Tamandua tetradactyla: one gene and its partners. The protein of the gene in region 3 purifies or fractionates together with the protein of the main gene of each other region. This does not show direct contact. Links are inferred from orthologs where the notes say so. Each region holds a gene or a part of one and is shown on either strand. Other genes may lie near its edges.

Region 1 (7,633 bases), on a different chromosome or scaffold from region 3:
TGGGATGTCACTTTAGCTGTGATATGAAAAACTGATTTTTTGCACTTGCTTAGTACTCTAAGGAAGTTGTAGGGGTCTATTAGAACATGAATGAAGAAATAAAGCCGGTCATATCCAGATGGGTCATACATGTTCTTTAGGGATATTTATGGCAGCCTGAATAATTGGTTTTTGTTGTTTGTTTCTCTAAATGAACGAATTCACCATCCATAGACTGCAAGACTGTGTACCAAGTTTTAACAGTAGTAAGAAGAATTCATGACTGATGTGAAGATGTAACAGATTTGCACATACAAAGTGAATGAATGTGGCAGCCATAGTGATCTCAATTAAACAGGATAAACAATATACCTGACTCACGAAAGTTACTTTGAAGGCTGCATATGTGAAATCAAACATACCATTTGGAATTGCTTTTGGAGACTATGTGGTTATTATAATTCCTGGTCTAATTTTAACATTATCAGTTCCCTGGAAATGTTTAAAAATGAAAAACCCATGTCTTGACTGAAGAGTCCATATTATCTGAAAATTTAATGTTCAAAATTTTTATGACTAAGCACTTAATACCTTTTGATATCTAGTATAACAATTCAGTGGACATTTGGCTAAATATTCTACTAGCGATTTTGGTACTATTAAATTATTGATCACAGTGTATGACTTTTAAAATAAAGCTGAATTCAAACTTAGTTAATATTTATGATTTTTTTAAAAGTTAGAAAATATACATATACATTTATATATACATATAATATACAAATAGGATTGGTCTTAAATTTTTTGTTTTCTTCTACTTAAGTCCATTTTTATAATTTGTATTTTTTCTAGGAAAACTCCAGCTCTTCATTGATTCAGTCACTCTCTCATTCATTTAACAAATATTTTCTGGTTTCTTACTGTGAGAGGCTGATCTTTTAAAAACACAGATCAGACCAAGCGACACTAAATTTTATACCTTTACATGTCTTCCATAGCTCTTGGAAAAAGTCCAAGCTTCCAGGCAAGACCTGGAGTCCTCTGGCCACTGCTCCCTGCCACCTCTCCTCTGGCCTGTCGCCTTCCATTTGTTCTTGAACTCTAGTCCTCTACACTCTTCTTGGGTTTCCTTCCTACTCAGATCTGTCTGACTCAGGTCTCAGCTTAACATCCTTCCATGATCTCACGTGGCAGATTCCCCAATTCTCTCTTAGCATGTACCTCAATTTCTAAGTCTATGTGGATTTTTACCACCTACCATGGATCCCTTGGGACAGTGACTGTGGCCATTTTGCTCACTGTTGTAGTTCCATATGGCTCCAAGTACATTGTGTGAGCTCACTATGTGAGGGGATGAGTGAATTAACTGGGTCTAGGCTGAGGCTCAGAGAATACTGCCTGTCAAGGCAGACTAGAGGCCAGAATAGAGTGGCAAAATGCCCAGGAGATCTCAGAGTGTTCTTAGAATAATTAGAGAACCAACAGGTCAGAAATACACAAGGACTCCAGTGTCAACAGCATGTGGCCTCTGCAGGAAGTGGGGGTATCAGACCCAGGTCCAAATCTCCAGTTTACTAGCTCTGTGACCTTGAACACCTTAGGTGAACACATTCTAGGCTGTCTTTTGAAAAGTGGACAATACCAAGTTCCTGGGTTTGTATTATCTGTGTGATAAGGCACACCATGAATGCTCAATAACAGGAAAAAAAAAAGGAAGCTGTTGTTAATCAGTTTGAAACCATAAATATCAAATTTAAAGAATTTAGAAATTCAAGGCGAACCTTATGTTAGGAAGGGTGCTGGGTCTGAGGCCTGAGAAATTTGGATTCAAATGAATTTTCTGGCTATTTCTCCCCCTCTCTGAGGTTCCCTCTCCCCATTTGTAAAATGTAGATTCTACAATTTATGTTTTAAGAATATGATTAGGATTAAATTTGCCATTTTATCTAAAGCTTCCTGGCCTATATTAAGAGTTTCACAGGTAGTTCTTTCGTTTTTCCCCAAGTGCCAACTATACTTTGTAGAGGATGGTAATTTAAAAAGTAACATTTAAATCACCCAGGTAAAGAAAACGAGAAAACAAAGCAAATCTATGGTAACTTACTCTAGGATTTAGTTTTTGAATTTGGAAAATGGGAGGTGGATATGGATATAGACGGTAGATTCAGAAAAACGAACAATTACTCCAACGAGGTTTGGGAAAAAAACTTTAAACATGACCTCAATGCCTGGTGCTGACAAGTGTATAATACTTTTTGATCCACTCACTATCTCCTTTAAAATCCGAGGCAAAAAGACTGTTCATAACGCTATCACGCCCTAAGATACGCCCCCCCCGCCCCCACTGAGGGCTCACCGGGGGCGATGCATTATTTTATTTCATGCTCGCCACAACCTAAGAGGTGTCATCCCTGCGGCCGCTTTGCAGGAGCACGCAGCGAGGCTCTGGGCAGCGAGCAGCTTTCTCAGGCTGCAGGCGGAACCCGCAGGGCGAGTCCAGGGCCTGCGGCCTCAGCCGTGGCCGGGCGCTCCGGGTCAAGATCCCGCAGGCCCGGCCATGGCGGGCGGGCGGGCGGACGTGGCCTCCGCGCCGGGCAGCAGGGGCCGTCCCGGGCGGAGGCGGGGCTGCGCGCGGTCCGTCCCCGTCGTGACCTTGAGCCCGGACGGCAGGGAAGGCACTCAGATCCTGCCGAGGCTCCGGCCCGCCGATCCCGCCAGCCGCAGCCTCGCCGCCGCCGCCGCCGCCGCCGCGCAGCCTGGACCGCCCTGTCGGGTGAGGCACGCGGCCGAGCCGAAATGGAGGCCCCCGCCAGGGACCCCCGCGCCCTGCGCCCCACGGACGGCCCCTCCCTGGTCGCTCCCGGAAAAGGCGGCGCTGCTCACCGGAGCTCGGGCAGAAGGCTGCGGGGAGCGGCCCGCTGCAGGAGGCCGCCGGCCAAGGCCACTCCGGCGGCCCGTAGCACTCGCGCCGCCATCTTGCTCCGGCGCCTCGGCTCCCACCGCCCGGGCGCCGCCGTGACGCCGCCGAAGCCGCCGCCACTGCGACCCCTCCCCCGGCCGGGCGGCCGACAAGGCTGGGGCGGGGCGGGGCGCGCGACCGCGGCAATGCGGGGCGCGGCCGCCAGGGGGCGCAGGGCGCGCGGCCGAGCCCGAGGCGGGACGCTGGGCGGTGGGTCGAAAGTAGTCGGAAGCCTGAAAAGCACCGCCTGCCGAACAAGATCTTGCGAAAGCTCTCGGTGCCCAGAAGGGGGTGTGCAAAGGGAACACGAGCATGGCTTGAATATGAATGGAAGGATTCACAAGCAGAGTACACCGTTGCCTGGCGGAAGCGGGAGGCCGAGCGACATGTGTGGGTGGGTGGTTTCTCCCCGAATATCTTTCGAATTTGGTGCCATGTGAAAATTACCTTTCCAAAACATAATCAACACTTTAGTAAAAGGCATTTTAGATGGGAACTTACTAAAATACTCTCGCAGTCTTGTGACTACATTGTTCCTGTTCACTTCAGCACCCATGGGCTCTGGCCACCGAAAGACCCCCGTCCCTGTCCTCACGCGGCCACTCTAATGGGGACAGGATGTGACCTGACGAGTGTGTCAAGTGCTGAGATGGAAAGGTTCACAAGACGCGAAGGAAGCAAGAAAGCGCAAGTGACCGAGGGTGGCTGGGTGGCGGATAGACCACGGGAAAATTCCCAGGGCTGCTCCCCTGCGGAAGAAGGGAAGACATCCCTGTCAGAGGGCACAACGTGAAGAAGCGTGTGCCCGGGAGACACTGTTTAAGGAAACCGTATCCCGTGGGAAAATAAGAGTCACCGATGTAGCCATGAAAAACTGCGGCAAAGATAAGTTGGGCAGAAAACGTTAGATCCTCAGAGGGGGCGTGACAGGGAAAATGCATTTCAAGGAAGCAGTGGGCTGGGGAGAGAACAAGAGGTGAGTTCCCTCCTGAGTTGGCCACTAGGTTTCTGTATCTGGGCAGTGGGGAGGGGAACTGGATTTGTGGATTGAGGGCTGCCCTGAAGCTGGGAATCTTGGGGATGAAGGGAGGGTGGAGGCTTTTGGACTAGGCAGAATTTGAACACATTAAAAGGACAAGGAGCCACCAGGCAGGAAAAAGTTGTGGTTGGAGGAGTGGCTGGGGAAGCATCTGTCTCCTGGAAGCCAGAGGCTGGTGCTGAGGGACTTCTTGCCTTCACCGGGTCTTGGTTAGAGGGGCTACAAAGGCTGGATAGGCCCCAAAGGAAGGCTGACCCAAGCTGCCCCCAATTCTCCAGAGCAGGAGATGGGGCCTCAAGCTAGAGGTGTCCAAGAGCCTGTGGCTTACTTACACATTTTCCCCACCATTCCCCTACCCATGTTTGTTGTGAAGGCACCCGTGCCCACCTCCTGCTTTAGACTGTAAGCCCTGAGGGTGCCCGTGGTTACTGTTGAAACACTGTGAGGACAATAGGCCTATTTGCTGAAGTTGAAATTTATGCTCTAAGTCTCTTTGTAGGAACCTGAAAACTGAAATATATAGTTAAATTTTTCCTCAGGTCAAAATCTAAGTCATCACAGTTCATTAAAGAATAGCAAAAATGCAGATACTTTCCAACTCAGATGCATGGGAGAAATCCTACAACTTCATTAATGTGTCAGATTTTAAGAACTCATGCCTATTTAATCTAGCCTAGGATCTAGGATCTAGGACATAAAAAAACTGACACAGAATTCTTACATTTTATTTTCTACTTGCTAACATCTTTATTAATACAGCTTAATCTGACAAAGTCTGACCACGAGCATGTTGGTTATTTCTCTTTGGAATTGGTGAACTCAGAAAAAAAAAAAAAGAATTCTGAATATAGACCATAAAAAAAAGACAAAAACAAAACACTTAGTGTGATCTAATCTTTTTATAATAGCAATAGTTTTTCTTCTCCCAAAATAAAAGTACTGAGATAAATTCGAGATTCCTTAGAATGAAAAAAATAATACACCCTCTAAAGCAATGAGCTTGCAAAATGATGCAGCAAACTGCTAGGCACACAGTTTAACAGGAACTTAATGTTCACTGAAAAAAGAAATTGGAACTCTGACCATAATCTTTATGAAAATTTATAACAAGCCCTTTACCAAATTTACTTTTATTGACTTCATAAATATCAGAAGAACAACTGGACACAGTTTAAGATGAGAGTTAGCAAAGTTTCTTTTTCCATAAAACAAACTTGTCTTTCCCTTTGGCAGCTTTTCTCCAATTCTCTTTTATTGTGTTGAAGAGACACTAAGTTCTTTGAGATTTTTGCTTAGGTGGGTGGTTTCCAGAGTGACTGGACTCTCCAGGTACGTGGTTCCTGCACAGGGTTTTCCTGTCACTGGATCTATGACTTTTCCCACTTTGAAAATGATCTCAGCTAGTTCATGCTTTACGTGCTTTGTTCGTGGAACAGGTAATGCTTTGAGAAGCACGATATCCCCAACAGTGCACTGCTGGAGGGCATCGTGAGCAAAGTAGGTTTTCCGCTTATTAAAATACTGTTGAGAGAAGGAGATGAACAAATTAGTAGCACACATCTGTGATCTGGCAATGCAATATGGAATAAAAGGTAATGCACAGAGAGCAAACTGGGACTTGGGAAAAGAAGATACTTAGCTGCTTATTCTTTGGAAAACACCAATGACTATTCCAGAGCTGATCCTATCACTGAACTTGCTAGGACCCTTGCTCTATCAGTTATCATCTCTCTCGAAATTATTTAAACTTTCCCTTCCCATTGGGAGCCTTCTCTCCAGCCTATAAAGATGCTATTCTTATCACAAGCTGTATGATTGGGACATAATCACTTAATCACCCCAATCTGTCCCCCCCCACCCCAATAAAAAGAGCTCTAATAGCTGCATCTATAAAGTTATCATGAGGATTAAACGTTGTATGTAAAGAACTTAATCCTATGCTTGTCTCAAAGTGTTTAAATAAGCCATAAATGATAATTAGAATCGCCAGACTCACAACCATCCTGCCATAGCAGGTATTTGTGCACATTAAGTAAACTCAGGTCTTCTGCTTCTAAGGCTAAAATCAAGCTGTCACTCTTCTGCTTGCTCCTGGGTTTTAGAGTCTAAGTTAAGAACAGCATTTTTGTTCACCCAAGCTGGAATGCTGAACCATCTTTGGTGTGTCCCTCTTCCTTGTACATCTAAGAAACCAATGACTCTTATCCCTTCTTCCTAAAATCTACTCTTGTCACACCAGCCCTGTTGACTCAAATTTTGTTCAGATCCTCATCATTTCCATCCTAGACTTTCGCAATAACCTCTTTACTGATTTCCTTACCCCCATCCTCCATCTCTAATTGTCTCCAAGCCTATCTTTCCTTTGCTTTTAGAATGAAATCTGAACTTGTAAACACAACACACAAAAAAACTTCATGGTCCAGCTTCGACTATCCTTGCCATTCATTCAACCAGTCTGCCTACCAACAGTCCACTCTCTGGGTCCACCCTGCTGGATCAGGCCCTTTCATGGCCAAATGAAAGTCCACATACTAATCATGGCCAGAACGACTTCCCTGACTTGGTTCTCTGGATAAAATCCTATTTGAGATTCAGCTCAAATGTCTCTTAATCAAGGATGCTCTTCTCCAGCAACCTGGGAGGAAAGAATGACATTTCCTATTCCCTATCTCACAGTATTTGCATATAGAATGACCACAGCAGGCATTGGACTGATTTGAAATTAACTCTAGGTCTCCCCAGAATGTAAGTAAGGCCCACGACCAATTCACCTGGCATACACATAGGCTACTCAGTGTTTGGCAACAGCTGACACATCTTTAGTGGTAGAGAAGTGTTTTTCTACCCAGGTTCTAGGAACATGTGGGTGCTGAAAGCAGGGATGCTCCTCACCTTTAATAAATAGTTATCCAGAACAAGCCTGGTCACTCTCACTTTAGCAGTTTTTTGCATTGCTGTCCCAATCACCTTCCCCACGATCCATTTGGCATGGACAGAAGAGCGAGCTATTGACATTATGAGGTTTTGGTCACCTGAAAAACAAGTTCCAAAACTAAGAATAGGGTGCTTATGACTCGCCAAATGACTTTTGTCATTAGAACTGCCCAAATTCAGAAACAGCTTTTGTTCGTCTTTTGAAATCACTACTTTCCTACACATTCCACTATTTCCTTAATCATCCAACCTCCCATTTTTCTACTCTTGGCAAATCAGTAAGTTTAATCTCTCAGCCTCAGTTCTCTCCTCTGGAAAATGGGGATAAGGGAGCCTAAACGAAGGAATGCTTTGGGGATTTAACCGGTAAAGCGGTCGTTAATGCGAATAAACGTTGGCCTTTACTGGTGTTTCACCTTTTCACATCTCGCCGGGTTGACGCTGCCAGAAGGCTCACAGCCTGTCTCCCTCGAACGCCCCCATCCCCGCTAGATATGCGGCTTTGAGGATCAGTCAACGCTGAGCCCACCCCGCCCGGCCTGGGGACGGCTGGGAGCGATCCCTCCATCTCCCCTTCCTCGGACAACCTCGAGGTCACGCGGAACTCGACGCCTCAGCCTCTCCCGGGACTCACGAGCTCCCGAAATCCCCTCTCGGAGCAGCGACCTCCAAAAAGCGCTCACCTTAGGAACGGAGTCTATCCTGTCGCGCGGCCGGGGAAG
Region 2 (7,511 bases), on a different chromosome or scaffold from region 3:
CTCCCTCCCGACCCTCCAGGCACCCACACCCCGGGCATGGCTGCCTAGATGCGGGGTGACCAGCAGACTCAGGGAGGAGCAGGCCCCACGAGGCAGCGGCAGGCCTGGGGGAGGCTCATGGCTCCCCTTCTAGAAGCACCATCCTGATGCCCAGGGCCAAAGGTCAAGGGTCAAAACCCAGGGTCAGTGAGGCAGGGAACTCCACCCCATCTGCTGAGACAGGGAGACTGAGGCCCAGAGAGGGGGGCTTTCTGCCTGGCCCCGGCAGCTATCACCCCACCTCCCAGGCTTCAGTTCAGCACCCAAAGGTTGGCCAGCTGCCCCCCACCCCATCAGCAGTGAGGACAGCATGAAGGGGCCTGCAACGGGGCTGTGGACAGGGCAACTCCCCTGACGCCACCTGCAACCAGACCCCTGCCCCCTGCCTGGAACGCCTGCACAGGGCAGGCCACGGGTGACCCTTCACCCACTGCCCAGAGAAGGCACGGACTGAACCCCAGGTTCCCTCACAGGCACTCCAGGTCCGGTGAGCCCGGGCTACTCACAGCACCCTCCAGGGGACAGGGCCGCTCCAAGGACAGAGCTGCCGGCTGGGCAACAGGGCTATGGCCCCACTGTCCAGTACAGAGAAAACAGAGGACAAATGTCATATGGCCCTACAACCCCCACAGCCTTGACATGGGCCCCCCACACTTCCAACTTTACAGAGGAGGGAGGTGAAGCCGGGTGAGGTCATTTGTCCAGCATCTGTTTCCCTCACATCCCATGACCGACTGTCCCCAAGCCTGCCAGCTCGGCTTCAAGACGGACACCGAAGTGGCCCCTTCTTCCACCCTGGTACCATAGTGCCCTCAGCAGCCCCATCCCTGCTCAGGACCCTCCTGGGGTGTCCACCTCACTCAGAGTCAAAGCCAGTGTGTCCCCTCTCAATGCTCACTTGACCCCAATTTTCAATGGCCATTCGCTCTCCTCCAGCTCAGCCAGCAGGCCCCTGCCCCAGGGCCTTCGCTGCTGATGCCCTCTGCCTGGAACACTTCTCTGCTTCCCCCGGAGGGCTCATGCCCACCACCCGGGAAGTAGCTCCTCAGAGGCTGGACAGGCCACATGGCCACTCTCCATCCCTGACCCCACCCCATTTTCACGCCCAGCCTGGCTACCACCCCAACGCCTGCACATTCTACTTTCTAGTTTTGGCTTTCACTCTGTCCCTCACTAGGACGTCGGTCCTGGAGGGCAGAGTGAGCTGTGTTCTTTGGGGCACTGTGCCCCCAGCACCCAGGAGACGTCACACGCAACACGGGCACAGCATCTGTTAAGCTGGCAGAGTGGACACCCCACAGGCCACTTGTGGGCAGGGCTGGGACTTGAAATCCAAGACCATCCAAGTCCAATCCCATGCTTGGCCCTGACTCGCACCTCAGAGTCCCCAGCGGTCACCTCCTTTGGTGACCCAGCATCTTCCCGGGGCCACCCCCTCCCATTGACCAACTCGGCGTGGGGCCTCATCCCCCCACAGGACGCTGGCCTTCTGACCACCCATGAGAGCAGGGGGAGCCGGGCGTCCCCCCATGGGTGTGAGGCCCCCATTCCACACTGCACTTCGCAGGCTGAAGGAGAGGCGTGTTAGCCCAGGGCCTGCCCCCCACCCTCCTGGGAAGGGTCAGTCTCCTCTCCCTGTCCTCACAGCCACCCCAGCGCAGGACAGTAAGGGTCCGGGACCCCTGAGCACCAGCCTCCCCTCCCGGGCCCTCTCTGCCCCTGGCAAGTTGGCAAGTCCTAAAGGGTGGTCCCGCTGCCCTGGCCACCCCAGAGCCTGGGACCACTGCAGCTGCCCCCCACCCCCGAAAACGCCTGCCCCTCAAGGCCACCATCAGACCCACACACAAAGGGACTGAGGACAAGTGCCAGCTCGGACAAGTCTTCTCCCCTCTATGAACCTCAACTTTCTCACCTCCATGGTGGAGCTGCGAGAAGCTGTGTGGTCAGAGGTCAGAACTGACAGGGCCAGGAGGGGTCCCCAAGGGGTGAGCTGGGGGCTGCGAGCTCCCACATATCAGTGCAGGGAAAGTTTATGGGCCCAAGGCAGCCCTGTTTCCCATGGTACTCCCTCCCCACCCCCCTGCCCCCAGCCAGCGCAAGGAAGGAGCAGCCATCCATCACCTCCTCCTTGGCCAAGGATGCCCAAGTGGCACCTCAGCCAGCCGGGTGACCCAGGGAGCCAGAGCCCCCAGCTGAGAGAGAAGCAACTCATTGCACAGAAGGGAAACTGAGGCCCCGCAGGGCAGAGCCTGGGCAGCGGGTGGGGGAAGGGAGCAGAAGAACGTGGACGGGATTTCCCAGCCCCACCTCCCCGCCTTGCACTCCCCGCGCCTCCTGGCCGGCCTGGGGGCCAAGCCAAACCAACCCCGGGCTGCCCCAAGGCGGAGCCTGGGGAGGGCCCGGAGGAGCAGCGGTCAAGAGGCAGAGAAGAGTCCCCGACCCCACGGAGCGGGTCTCTGGACACAGAGCGGCAGGAAGGGGCGGGGGACGAGGAGAGACGCACAGAGGGAGAGACCCGGGGGCCGAGGCGACAGCCCCCTACTCCCGCCCGGGACTCAGGCCGGAAAGGGCCGGGGCGCGGAGGGCGCAGGGCCCGGAGAGGTGCGGAGCCCCGCAGGGACCGAGAGCCAGGGACGTGCAGAGGCAGGGCCGGGCAGGCCCGGGACCCGGGGATAGACCCGGGCGGACGCCGCGTCCCGGGGCCGGGGGGGAGGGGCACGGGGGCGGGCCCCTGCGCCCCTCCCCCTCGCCCCCGCCCGGCGCCCCCTCCGCGGGCCCGACGTGGCTCGTCCCCAGCCCCGGCCCCCCGCCCCGGCCCGCCCCCTCCCCGCCGCCGCACCTTGTTGAAGGCGAAGAGCTCCTGCTTGAGCTTCTCGCGCTGCGGGTCGGCGACCTGCCGCCGGAACCGAAACTTCATCATCTTGCGCCCGGCCCGGCCGCGCCGCCCCGCCGCAGCCCGCAGGATGCGCCGCGCGGCCCCGCGGGTCCTGAGGCGCGGGCGGGGCGCCAAGGGCCGGGGCGCGGGCGGGAGGCGGGGCCGCGCGGGGGTGGGCGCCGGCCGCGACGGACGCGCCGCGCGGCCAATGAGCTTGCGTGCCGCGCCGCCCGCCCCGCCCCTCCGCCAGACAAAGGGGGTGGCCGGGGCCCCCGGGCTCGGCCGGGCTCGCGGAGGGGCGCCGCCGGTCATGTGCCGCAGCGCGCGGCCCGCCGGGACTCGTAGTCCGCCAGCCAGGCCCCGATCGTGGGCGGCTGGGGACTCGGCCGGCGGGTGCGGGCGCCTGGTCGCGGCTTGACCGAGGCTCTCTCCCCCTGCGAGGGAACGTCGTGCACCTCCACTTAGGGGGCAGCCCTTTCCCGAACGCTAGAGAGTCCCGACTGGGCCAACGCTCTGGCCCCTCCGAGCCTCAGTGTCCCCGTCTGCGCCACAGACCCTTGGCCCCATGTTGCCAGGTTCATGTTCTACCAGGCTCACGGGACACCACTCTGCCTGTTCTGCAGAGTGCCGGACCCCTCCCACCACCGTGCATGTGCTCCGGCTGCACGGCCAGTCAGGAATGTCCTCCTCCACTCCCAGCCCCTGGGGAACTCCTACACATCCTTCAGGACCCAACGCGAAACACTCAGTGTAGCAGCACAGGGGATTCTTAGGAGTGGCACGAGCCGAACAGTGAGACAGAAACCCAGCCGAGGGAGGAGGCCCTTTGGCAGAAGATGGTATGTGGGTCTGTCCTCAGCTCGGATTTGGGCTTTGGGCGATGGGGGAAGGGCCTTCCCACTGGAGGGAACAGTGATAAACAAAGCTGAAGGACTCTCGGCCTGTCCCCACCCACCTCCCAGGCCTCCTTTCCTCATCAGGAAAATGGCCTAGAGGTTGGACCTTTCCTTCCAGGCTGAAGATAGGCTGCGCTGGACCCAGGGCTGGGTTAGGTTGGAACTCCCAGAAGCCTAGATGGGGCAGGTAGGCCGGGTCCCAACCCCACCAGCTGTGTCAGGGAAGGTGGAGCTGACCTCTGACCCCAAGTGACAGGAGTTGTCTGTCCCCCTCCAGCCACACCCAGCCCTGCCCCGCCTGCCCTGCTGGATCCTGGATCAGGAAGAAGGTCAGGTTAGAAGAGGAGGGAAGCTGATAAGAACAGCAAGGCTTCTTCTATGTGTCCATTCAAAGATGTTTTGACTGCTTTAAGGCTCCTAACAGTTCTCTGAGGGAGTCCCCAATATTAGCCCAGTTTACAGATGAGGAAACTGAGTGACAATGCCTGCGCGCCCCACCCCATCCCTGTCACCTCTTCTGCAAAATGAGGCAATAAGTTGCACCAGACGGACCTCACGTGGGGTCCTACCATCACCACTGAGAAGCTGTGCCGCATGGAGCAAGTTACTTGTACTCTCTGTGCCTCGGTTTCCTCATCTGTAAACATGGCCATAATACTAGTACCTACTTCAAAGGGTGTGGTGAAGGAGAAATGAAATTTGTCCTTGTGACACCCTCAGAGCTTGCCTGGCGCCCAGGAAGGGCCGAGCGAGGTTAGTTATCATGGCTCTAGTTCACTGCTCTAGGAGCTCTTGTCCTCTGTAAGGGGTCTGCCTTTACTCAGCCTCCACGTCTCTGTCTTTGAAATGGGACTTTTTCATCAGGCATTAAGCAGCCAAACCTGTGTCTTCATCCCCTGGCACCGGGAGACAGAGCTGAGTAGCTCCCCAACTACTTAGAGTGCTGGGCTGTGGTAGGGGGTGCACAGGGTTGGGGTGGTGGCAGGGGGGCAATTCCAGATGGGCTATAATGAGTGAGGGGTTTATTAGGCAGAGAGATGGGGAGACAGGGAAGAGTTTCATGGCAAGGAACGGCTCTTGTAGTCAGAGGGTGTTTTGCCAATGCAGATACCAGGTACCCCCAGATGCAGATGTCTGCAGAATCAGGATTTTATACCAGCCTCTTCCCATCTGATCAGTTAAGGGGGGTCCAGTGGATATGCTGAAATATAAATGGGTAAACTGAGGCCTGAGCTGGGCCACAGCCAGGTAGGGTTTGGTGGGGAGGCGTTGACAGGTCCCGGGCTTCCTTCCCCTCCCCTGTGAGCAGGGGCAGCCCAGGCCTGTGATTTACCAAGGCGGTGCCAGGGGATGGGCCCAGGCAGCCAGGGGGGCACCAAGTGCCCACCCAAGCCTGTTCGTTGCTCAGAGCGGGAAACTGATGTGCAGTAAAGACCAGGCAAGGGCTTGACCACAGGGTCCTTTGAGATTTGGGGGCCCCCTCATCCGTCCTAGTCAGCAGTCTTCAAGCTCCAGCCTCCAAGGCCTGTGTCATCCCTGGGCCAGGGAGGGGCATTTCCTGGGCAGGGTGGCCCTGCCCCCTCCTAGGCTGGCTCCAGCACGGTACCTAGAACGGCAGCTGGCACCTGGTAAGTACACAACACGTATTTCTTAAAAACATATATAAAAAAAAATTTTAAAAAAGCTTAAGACAAAAACTCAAAAATGGACAGCACAATACTACCTAATTGTAATGTAATTATGTTAAAACACTGAATGAAGCTGCATCTGAGCTATAGTCTTTTTTTGTTTTTTTTGTTTTTTTAATTTTTAATTTTTATCTTTTTCTATTATCATTTTATTTCTTTTTCTGTTGTCTTGCTATTTCTTTTTCTAAATCGATGCAAATGTACTAAGAAATGATGATCATACATCTATGTGATGATATTAAGAATTACTGATTGTATATGTAGAATGGAATGATTTCTAAATGTTGTGTTAATTTTTTTTTAATTAATAAAAAAAAGCTCAAGGAAATATGGCAAAATGTTAACATTTGTGAGCGATGATGTCTATAAAGTGTTTTTCAGTGTGTTTGAAATAGTTCATTAAAAAATAGTCAAATACAAGTAATGATAGCCACACTGTCTGGGAGTCGAGCCCACGGGAAGCGGTGGTTGGTGCAGTGACGGGCAGGGGGTGAACAGGGGGCACCTTGAGTCAGGCTGGGGAGCAGGTTCGGGGACAGCGAAGAGGCCAGTTTGGTGAGTGCTGAGAGCAAGATGTGGGGGCCCTGGAGAGCACGGGCTGGAGCTGCAGGAAAACAGGTGTTGCGTTAATGAGTGGGGAGATGACTGTGGTGACAGCTGGCACACACCAACTGAGGCAGGCACCCCGATAAATGCAGTATTTGAGCTTCGCCTCTGTGATGCTTCACAAGAGGTGGGTGAGCAGATTGTCCCATCTCATGGATGGTAAATGGAAGCCAAGGGCAGAGCCCAGGGTGGCCTGCGGAGGGGAGGAAAGAAAGGGTGGTTCCAGCCAGTGACCAGAGGGAAAGCCCCAAAGAGAGGGAGACCGGAAGAGTCCAGCTGAGGGAGGCGGCTGTGGGGCTGGAGGCTGGCGCTGCCTTCCTGGCGCTGATGACCCAGATCCCAGCCAAGGCCGTGGCCCCCTCTGCTGTCCAAACCACACACACAGCTTCTTCCTGGAGGCTCCCCCAGGGACTCGGTGGGCCGAGGATTCTTGGAATGGAGTCTAGCCTGGGGCAGGGCTTGGGCAGGGTCCAGGGTCGAGGAAGGTGAGGGAGAAAGGGAGGCCCAGTGTGGAGGCCTGAGACAGAGACCACCTGGTAACAGGGTCTCCAGCCAGGGCTCCAGCAGGGTAGCCCAAGCCGGGGGAAGGAGGGAGCACCTCGTCCTGTGGGGTATACAAAATGAATCTGGCTAAGAGAGTGTTCTGGGCCCAGAGAGGGGAGGGTGGATCTGGGCCCCCCCTACCCCATTCCACAGAGGATGAACAGTGTTCTGGCCCCCATTTTACAAGGGAGGAACCTGAGGCCCAGAGAGAAGCAACCTGGGGCTGGATGGTCTCCTCCGGACGCACAGCCCCGAGCCTGGCTCCCGAGGGTCGCTGTTCTGGGCTCATGCTGGGACCTGGGACGCCGTACCCTCTGCCGGGCGTGTTGGGTTTGGGACTCCAGGGGCCAGGGAGGTGGGGCTCTGTGCCTCTTCCTTTCTACAGCCCCAAGTTCTAATCCTGCTGCTTCCTCCTCCCCTCTCTGGACCTCGATTCCTCATCTGTAACCTGGGGCTAATATTAATTGCTACCGTTAATTAACACTGAGCACTCGGCCTGTGCCAGGCACCACAGTCATTCATTTAATCCCATGGTATTTTACAAAGAAGCCAAGGCCAGAGAGACTAAGTAGTTTGCCCCAAGTCCACAGCTTGTAAGCCAAAGAAAGCATGATTTGAGCGCAGGACCCAGGCAAGGTATTGGAGGTTGTGGCGACGATTAAATGAGAGCCCGTGAAGGACCTGGTTCAGAGTGTGCATTCAGCCAAGGGCAGGGCAGCCGTCTCCCAGGCTGGACTGGACACCCTGGGCCCTGCTCGCTGACTGTGACCACAGCCTCGGTGCCAGGCTGTGCTGAGGGAAGCTAGGGAGCAGGGGTGGGGGGGTTCCAGAGACAGCCCTGACAAGGCTGGGGGTGGGGGGCCA
Region 3 (7,713 bases):
CTTGGCAAAACTCACCCTTAAACCTCTACCCCTGCAAAGCTCACCCCTAGGTCACTCCCCCATGGTGCCTGGGCTATGCCACCCAGCTCTGAAGGGGACATGAGGTGCCACCCCCAACAGCACGGCTCCCACTCCAGGGACAGCAGCGAGACAGAAACTTCACTCTCCCAACCCACCTGCCTCGCCAACGGCCCTCAGGGCACGTGTGCACAGCCGGAGAATCCGAAGCACTGAGGGGGGTGGGCTCCCCAATATGGGGCGGCAAGGGGCCCCATATCCTCAGAGCAGGTGACCCCCCCAAAACAGCCCCCTGGGATGGCAAGAAGGGGGTGCACTTAGTGGGCTACGCAGGAGATGGGTGCACGACACCATCCAACATGTGGGCGAGGCTGGCCGCCCCCACAGGCCCGTGCAGACACGGCCCCACCAGCGGACCACCAGCCCCTCCTCACACACCTCCCCCCTGCAACCTGCTCCTCCCACCACCACCCCAAGGTCCAGGTCAAAGGGCACTTCCCTGCTCTTACCTGCAGCCTCTTCTCTGAGTGACCACCTGGACACCTCCGGAGGGCCAGCAATGGTCACCTCGGGCTCAGCCCACTCTGGGAAACGGCTCTGCCAGCACCTCTGATGGCGTGACCATGACTTCCAGCCCAGACAAGTCGGGGTACCTCCAGCTCCACGGCCCCACAGCCTAACACTTCCACCGTGCAGGCCAATGGTCCCACAGCCTAACATTTCCACCCTGCAGGCCAATGGCCCCACCCCCCGAGGCATTCTGCCACTCTTACCCCTGCGGTCAGCAGCCAGGAGGCTCCCCACTCAGGCCCCACACGGCACAGCAAACACCACCCCACGGGGCCCTTGTGCCTGCTGCCCCTTCCCTGTCTGCTCTACCAGTCACTGGCCCCTGGGCGGCGACGCTGGGGCAGCTGCAGCTCTATTGAGGCCTGCTGAGCAGACAGGAGCTCTGTCGAGGCGCGGGCGCCTGTAGGCCCCCCACTGCCACAGGTCACAGCACCCACCCTGGCTGCGGCGAGGTCTTCACGCAGAGGGGCCCTTGGGGAAAGTTCCAGAACAGAACTTTTCTGCACAGGGTGAGAGCCAGCCAGCGGCCATTCCTGGGATGCGGGGACGCTGAGGAGCTGGCCCCAAGGTGCTGGACAAAGCAGGCCCTCCCCCTGGGCAGGTGGTGGACACCCTGCACCCCTTCCCACCCCCGTCAGCCTCTGTGGGAGCGGGCACAAAGCCCATGAAACACAGGAGGGGCCCTCGCCCGTGGGGTGCTAGAGAAACCCCGTCTTTGCTTTTGTCTGAAAGGTCCAGTGACCATGCCTCCGGGCAGCGAGTGTCCTCTCAGGGGTGGCCTCTGAGCGCTGGGATTTCACCAGCCCCACCCCCACCCCGATTTCACCAAGCCCTAGTCTTGGGGGGCCCTTCAGGAATGGCCATGGTGGACTGGGTCTCCTGGGGGCCCAGTCCCGAGCTTCCAGGCACTCCCAGGGAGGGGCTGGGCTTAGAGAAGGTCCCTCCGTGGGCCAGAGGGGCTGGAGTGGCAGAAGGGAGGGAGTCAGAGGGGAAGGGAAGGGTGGGGTGGAGGCAGGAGGGGAGGGGAAGAGGAGTGGGGGCTGGGCAATGGCGGGAAGAGGGAGGAAGAGGAAAGGTGGAGGGAAGGAAGGGGGGAGCGGCCTTATCAGGAGTGAAACTGGAGGCAGCAGGTTGTATTACATCTGTGCTGCCAGTAACCAAAACGCTCCCTCGGGGACCAGGAGGTGGGGACTCCCCATCCCCCCAGCACCCTCGGATCTTCCCCTGAGCCCCCCCTTCTGACCTCCAACTTCCACCTGACCCCCACTGCTTGGCGCTGGAGGTACCTGCTAGATTCCTCTTGGGGGTCAGCTGGAGGGTCCCCACACCCCAGGCAGGGGGTTTCAAATGCCACTTGTGCAATTTGGAGGTGGCCCCTCCCAGCTGGGGCGCCAGCAAGTAGCGGCACTGTGGGGGCGCAGAAAGCCAAGATGTTCTGCACCCCTGAACCCCAGCCCACACCCCACACACCCCTCCTCCCTCGGGGTCCACCACTGACTCCCCCAACCACGGGTCTGCAGGGGACCTAGGAGCAGGCACCCAAGGCTGCAGATGCTGTGCTCATGGGGTGGAGCCCGAACCCGCCTCCGGGAGGGAAGGGGTGGGGGGCGCTGCCCTGGAGGAGCCGCGGCCTCGCGAGGCGGCCGCCCCCCACACCGTGCCCCCACAGGTGCTGAACCAACGGGGAGCGCCAGGTCCCAGCCGGGGTTCCAGCCGTCCTCGGCGCTGTCTGCACCCGCGGGCGGCGAGAGCGGGAGTCCCGCGCTCTACCCGGGAGCCCCGTCATCTGGTCACGAGCCCCCTCCACCCACCCCGGGCTCGCGGCCCTGAGACCAGCGACGGTAAGAGTCCAGGCTCCCGACCACTGCACCCCGGGAGGTGCCCACTCGCCCCATTCACAGACAGGGAGATGGAAGCCCGGGCGCGCTTCTCCCTCAAGACTCCGGGACCGGCCCAGCTCCCCGGGGCCCTCCCCCCCGGCCCCCGCCGCAGCGGCCTGGCGCGGCTTCTCCCTCTCAGCGGAGCGCCCTAGCCGGGCGAGAGGGCGAAAGTTGAGAAACTCGCTTCTTCTCCAGCTGCCAAAGTTTGCCCAGCTCCATGGAGCTGCGTCCCCCGGTCCCGCGACCTCCCTCCCGGCCGCGCTGCCAGGACCTGCGTCAGCGGCGACCCCGGTCCGCCCGCCCCGCCCCCGGCCCCGGCCCCGGCCCCGGCCCGGCCCGGCCGCCCGCAGGCTCGCGCGGCCCCTCCCGGCGAGGGCGCGTCGGGCTCCCGGGGACGCGGAGGGCCGGCCGGGCGCGCTCACCCGCTGTAGTGCGCCTTCAGGCGGACGCGCCCGCCGCTCCCGTCCATCTTGGGGCCCGGCCTGCTGGGCGTGGCGCGCTCGGCCAGGCCGTCCTTCAGGGCCGCGTCCCGGACGCGCGGGCCCACGGCGCGGACACCTGCCGGACACCTGCCGGACACCTGGCGGGACACCTGACGGGGCCGGGGCGGAACGCGGCGGGGAGCGCGCGGGTGACCCGCGCCGGCCCGGCCAACTCCGCGCGAACTTGGGCAGCGGGGCGGGGCCCGGAGAGCGTGCGGCCAATAGGCGGGGCGCGGCGCAGCCGGGCGGGAGGGGGCAGCACCTGCGGCCAATGAGGGCGCCGGCGGGGCAGCCACCTGGGCCAATCCCCGACGGGACCCCGCGGGCGCGGCCCAATCGCCGTGGCGCGGGGCGGACTACCTGTCGGGCCGCCGCCGCCTCACCTGCGGCCAATGGGAGTGCTAGGCGCCCGGCTCTGTGGAGCAACGCGGGGGCGCGGGCGGGGTCTCGGGCGGGGTCTCGGGGTTCCCCGCGCTCGCCTTGTGCGGGAAGCGGGCTGGCGGCAGCGGCCCTCAAGGTGGAATGCGAATTCCCGGGCTCCCCCGTCCGCTAGCCAGTCCCGAAGGCCCAGGGAACCGACCCCGACGGCGCTGGACCCCGGCGTCGAGCCGCTCATCGTCCACGGGCGGGAATCGGGCGCGCAGCGAAGCCCCCGGGCCCGGCGACGACCTGAGGCAGAGGGGACTGGATGGCTCGGCCAGGTTCGGGCTGGGCGGGTCTCCCGGGCGCGGCCCCCCCACACGTCGACCTCCAGAATCCCGGAGCCCGTTGCAGGGAAGGCTTATCTGCGCCCGCCGGGCAAGGTTGACCCCGAAACGCGGACCCCCCAAAGCCTTGGGGTCACCCTTAACTCCGCCACCCGTTACACCCCGTCCTCGGCGTCAGCCCCGCCGGCCCAGCTTGAAGAGATCCCGGGATCCAGCCCCTGCCGCCACCCGCTGACCCGCGCTTGCACCGACCTGCAGCAGCCCCCAAGTGTGCTGCCCTCAGCGTGGGTCAGGGGGCCTCCAGGATGCCCGCGTCTCCAGAGGTGACACCCCTGGCCCTGCAGGCGCCCGGGCTCTTGTCTCTCCTCCGCAGCTTCCCCACCTTCTTGCTGCCCCCACCCCTGCCCCCTTGCCTCTGCTGTTCCCTCTGCCAGGAGCGTCTCCCCGTCGGCTCCAGGAGGCTGCTGCCCACACTTCTGGGGGGTCTGTACCCCACCTTCCTGCCAGAGCATGGTGGCTGTCCTCTCAGGGCACCCACAGTTAGTGGGGTGGAGGGGAGCAGAGAGTTACTGAGTGAGGGGCAGTGTGCCAAGGGCACAGGGATGAACAGCGAGCAGCTGCGTGTGCTGGCCAGGGGTGCTGCCACTGCCAGGCAGGCCACCCAGCTTGCCCCTGACTGGGATGGGGAGGAGCAGCGCCACACTCGCTGGGGTGGGAGGTGGGCCGTGGGTTCCCGGTCACTGGCTTCAGCCGGCACCTCCCCACCTGCCAGGGGGGACCTCTGGCCTTGAAGCTGGTCCCCAGGCACCACCAGCCCCCATCACAGCAGGGGAGGGCTGGAGCAGGCCCCTCACCCCCCCTGCTAGCTGGTTTAGGGGGCCCCCCCGGGCTGAGTTTAAAGGGGAGTCCACACCTGAGCACCACAGCAGAAGGTTGAGGGACCCCGAAGCCTCTCTTCCGTGCGGGGGTCAGGGCAGGGCAGGGAGACGAGACTCCTTTCTGGGCGGGAGGCTCCCCTTCCCTTCCCCCATCCTGATATCTTCTGGCTTGAGGCCCCCTGTGGCCCCTATGCCTCCCCTGGCCATGTCCGGCCCAGAGCCTGGGTGGGGTGGGACGCTGCGCCCCACAGCTCTGGCAGGGGGGCTGGGTGGGTCGCGGGGGGTAGGGTGCACCTGGATGAGCTCCCTGCGGGCTGGAGGTGCCTCCCCACCCTTCCCTCTGGCCCCCTCCTCCTGCTGCAACCAACAGGGTTTGGTAATGAAGCCCCCACGGCCCCCCCCAGAGGGACCCAGGGTGAAGCCCAGGATGGATGGGCCACAAGCTGGCTGCTGGGGGGCAGGCCGCTGTGATTGCCTCCCCTCCTCGGTGCCCACACCCCAAAACCGAGCCTCCTGCCCTGTTGGAGGGGGGTGCCCGTCCCCTCCCTCCCCCTCGCCTCCCACCCCGCCCCAGAGCCTGTCAGATGGCATCGCGGGCCCATGCCCAGGCTGTGAGGTAATGGCCGGCCTCCCGGCCCTGGCCCAGGGTGACCCTTGGACCCGGGGAGGCGGGACAGGGGTGCGAGGGTGGGGCGCCAGGGGCGGAGGCTCTCTGCTCTCACGCTCTCAAGCCCTGTGCTCCTGTGTTTTCCAGTCTGTCCTTAAAGACCTCGTGCTTTCCGAGCCACAAACGCCCATTATTTCAAAACAGAAAAAAGGCATCCTTCTTTTTTAAGGGTTGTAAAAGTGGCACAAGCTGATCGTGCAGCTTCACCACCTGGGAGGCTTAGACAGGAAGCCCCCTGCCGCCCTCCCCTCCTGGCATGCCGGACCACCGGGGGTCCTTTCCTGTCCCGCCCAGCCCGGCCCGGCCCTTCCTGGAGGTGCAGGGCTGGAGCGGAGGGGTGGGGGAAGGTGTGCCCTCCCCCCACGGGCCTTGGCGTGCCCTCACAGGGCTCACCTTCAGCTCTTCTCTGGGGGGGCCCTCCAGGGACCCCGCGATCCTTCAGGCGAGAGGGTCGCTGGGCCTCCCTGGGGGCTTCCAGTGTCCCTCCCTGTACGGGGTCCGCCCCCCGCCCCCTGGCCCGGCGCTTCGGGGTGCGGCTCTGCCAGAGGGCCCAGCGAGGACCCCGTGGGCCGCAGGCCCGAGCCAAGGCACAGGAAGAGCCCAGAACCGCCGCTGAGCAGTCTCTGGCCCGGGCGCGGGTGGGAGCAGATGTTTCCTCTCTGTCATGATCACGGGCTGGCGCGGGCAGCCCAAGTGACCGCTCACACTCGTCCCTTCGTCATCTCCGTGGGGGGGCTGGTGGAAGAGTCACCCATTTTGGGGCCGGCTGAGAGCCAGCACGTCCCAGGGAGACATAGAGCCACGGCTGGGCCACGTGTGGGGAGCCCCGGAGGGCACTGCGGCGGGGCAGAGAGGCTGTGCAGGCCTGTGTCCCTCCTGGGGGTGGCCAAGGGACAGAGGAAGGCCCCACCCTCCTCGTGGCAGGGGTCCTGCTTGGTGGGAGGCGGGAGAGGAAGGTCGGGGCCTCGGGGCTCCGGGTGTGTGTGTGTGTGTGTGTGTGCACATTTGTGTGTGTCTGTGTGTATCCATATGTGTGGGTGTTTCTGTGTGTGTGTTGGTGTGTGTGCGCATCTGTGTTTCTGTGTGTGCATTTGTGTGTCCCTGTGTACACATCAGTGTGTCTGTGTGTTTCTGTGTGTGTGTAGATGTGTACCTACTGCACATCAGTGTGTACTGTGTGCTTGTCTGTGTGTACCTGTGTGTGCATCAGTGTGTGTATGTCTGTGTGTGTGTCTGTGTGTATGTATGTGTGTATATGTGTGTATCTATATTTGTGTGTGTCAGTGCATACCTGTGTGCATGTCTGTGTGTTTGTGTGTCTGTGCACGTCTGTGTGTGTCTGCACGTCGGTGTGTGTCTGTGTGCATGTCTGTGTGTGTGTGTGTCGGTGTGTACCTGTGTGTGCGCACGCATCTGTGTGTGTCTGTGTGTACACTGGTGTATACCTATGTGTGCATCTGTGTGTGTATGTGTGTCAGTGTGTACCTGTGTGTGCATCCGTGTGTGTCTGTGTGTGTTGGAGTGTACCTGTTTGTGCATCTGTGTGTGTCTGTGTGCATGTGGTGTGTATCGTGTGCATGTGTGCCAGTTTCTAGGTTGTCTCCTCTGGGCTCCAGGCCTGTGAAGGTCACAGGCTTCCTTCCAGCCGGGCTCCCGCTGGCCCCGGGGACTGCGAGTGCTGCCGCCCTAAGGGATGCCGCCAGCCTGCCCGCCAGGGCCAGAAGTGCCCAGGAGAAGATGCTTGAAGGACACTGCGGGACGAAGGACTCCCTTTGCCTTTCAGGGAGCAGCGGTGAGCTGGGGTGTGGGGGAGTAGACTTGGGGTGCAGGCACAGGGCGTCTGGGGGCATTGTACCTCAGCCATGCGCCCAGGACGTGGCCCCCCCTGGTGCCCCCTGGTGATGCCCTTGGTGCAGCCTTCCATGCCTCTGGGCAGCCCACACCCAGCCGCGGTGCCTGGGTCCTGGGGTGCTCCTGCTTGCCCGGGGCCCCAGCACCAGCTCCGCCCAGTCCCCAGCAAGCTCCCCACGGTCCTGTGGGCTGGCCACTCCCTATCCATCCCTTCATGGCCCCCCTCCAGCCTGATGCACCCTGAGGTCTTCCAGCTGGGCTCGGCTGGAGCTGGCAGCTTGGCGGATCCCAGTGGAAACACCCCATTTCATCAGCCACAGTGTCTGGGGGTGTCCTGGCTGTGTGTCTGTCTCTTCTGCTGTGTCTGTGCTCGTGGGTCCGAGTGAGCACCTGTTTGTGTGATGTGTCTGTATATCTGTGTCTTGGTTGGGCCTGTATCTGTCTCTGTATATCTGTCAGCTTATTATGTGTGTATCTGTGTGCATGTCTGTGTGTCTGTTGTGTATGTTCTATGTGCTTCTCTGTTGTGTGCACACATGTGTGTTCTCTGTGTCTGTCATGTGTGTTCCATGTGCATGTTCTGTGTGTGTGCATGTTCTATGTGTGTGTCTGTAGCATTTATGTATTCTGTGTGTGTCTATGTGTGTGTTGTGTGCATGT

The links. The genes of interacting proteins can lie anywhere in the genome.
Region 1: the proteins of PRKCZ (region 3) and NIPSNAP2 purify together in Homo sapiens (affinity purification with mass spectrometry; 3 studies listed by BioGRID and IntAct, counting the BioPlex papers as one, with this or other methods). This does not show direct contact. The link is inferred for Tamandua tetradactyla from reciprocal best matches to the Homo sapiens genes PRKCZ and NIPSNAP2.
Region 2: the proteins of PRKCZ (region 3) and LLGL1 purify together in Homo sapiens (affinity purification with mass spectrometry; 6 studies listed by BioGRID and IntAct, counting the BioPlex papers as one, with this or other methods). This does not show direct contact. The link is inferred for Tamandua tetradactyla from reciprocal best matches to the Homo sapiens genes PRKCZ and LLGL1.

Annotation. Positions count from the first base shown.
Region 1 is NC_135349.1:18,621,800-18,629,432, forward strand, and holds the start of NIPSNAP2 (protein NipSnap homolog 2), read right to left. Parts: upstream 3,007-7,633; 5' UTR 2,955-3,006; coding exon 2,863-2,954; intron 2,547-2,862; exon of another isoform or gene 2,350-2,546; coding exon of another isoform or gene 2,336-2,349; intron 1-2,335. Other genes in the region: MRPS17 (small ribosomal subunit protein uS17m), read right to left, coding at 5,229-5,498, 6,870-6,992. UniProt on the Homo sapiens protein: Protein involved in mitophagy by facilitating recruitment of the autophagy machinery required for clearance of damaged mitochondria.
Region 2 is NC_135332.1:1,862,667-1,870,177, reverse strand, and holds the start of LLGL1 (lethal(2) giant larvae protein homolog 1), read right to left. Parts: upstream 3,007-7,511; 5' UTR 2,960-3,006; coding exon 2,879-2,959; intron 1-2,878. UniProt on the Homo sapiens protein: Cortical cytoskeleton protein found in a complex involved in maintaining cell polarity and epithelial integrity. Involved in the regulation of mitotic spindle orientation, proliferation, differentiation and tissue organization of neuroepithelial cells.
Region 3 is NC_135328.1:222,906,031-222,913,743, forward strand, and holds the start of PRKCZ (protein kinase C zeta type), read right to left. Parts: upstream 3,006-7,713; 5' UTR 2,938-3,005; coding exon 2,891-2,937; intron 1-2,890. UniProt on the Homo sapiens protein: Calcium- and diacylglycerol-independent serine/threonine-protein kinase that functions in phosphatidylinositol 3-kinase (PI3K) pathway and mitogen-activated protein (MAP) kinase cascade, and is involved in NF-kappa-B activation, mitogenic signaling, cell proliferation, cell polarity, inflammatory response and maintenance of long-term potentiation (LTP).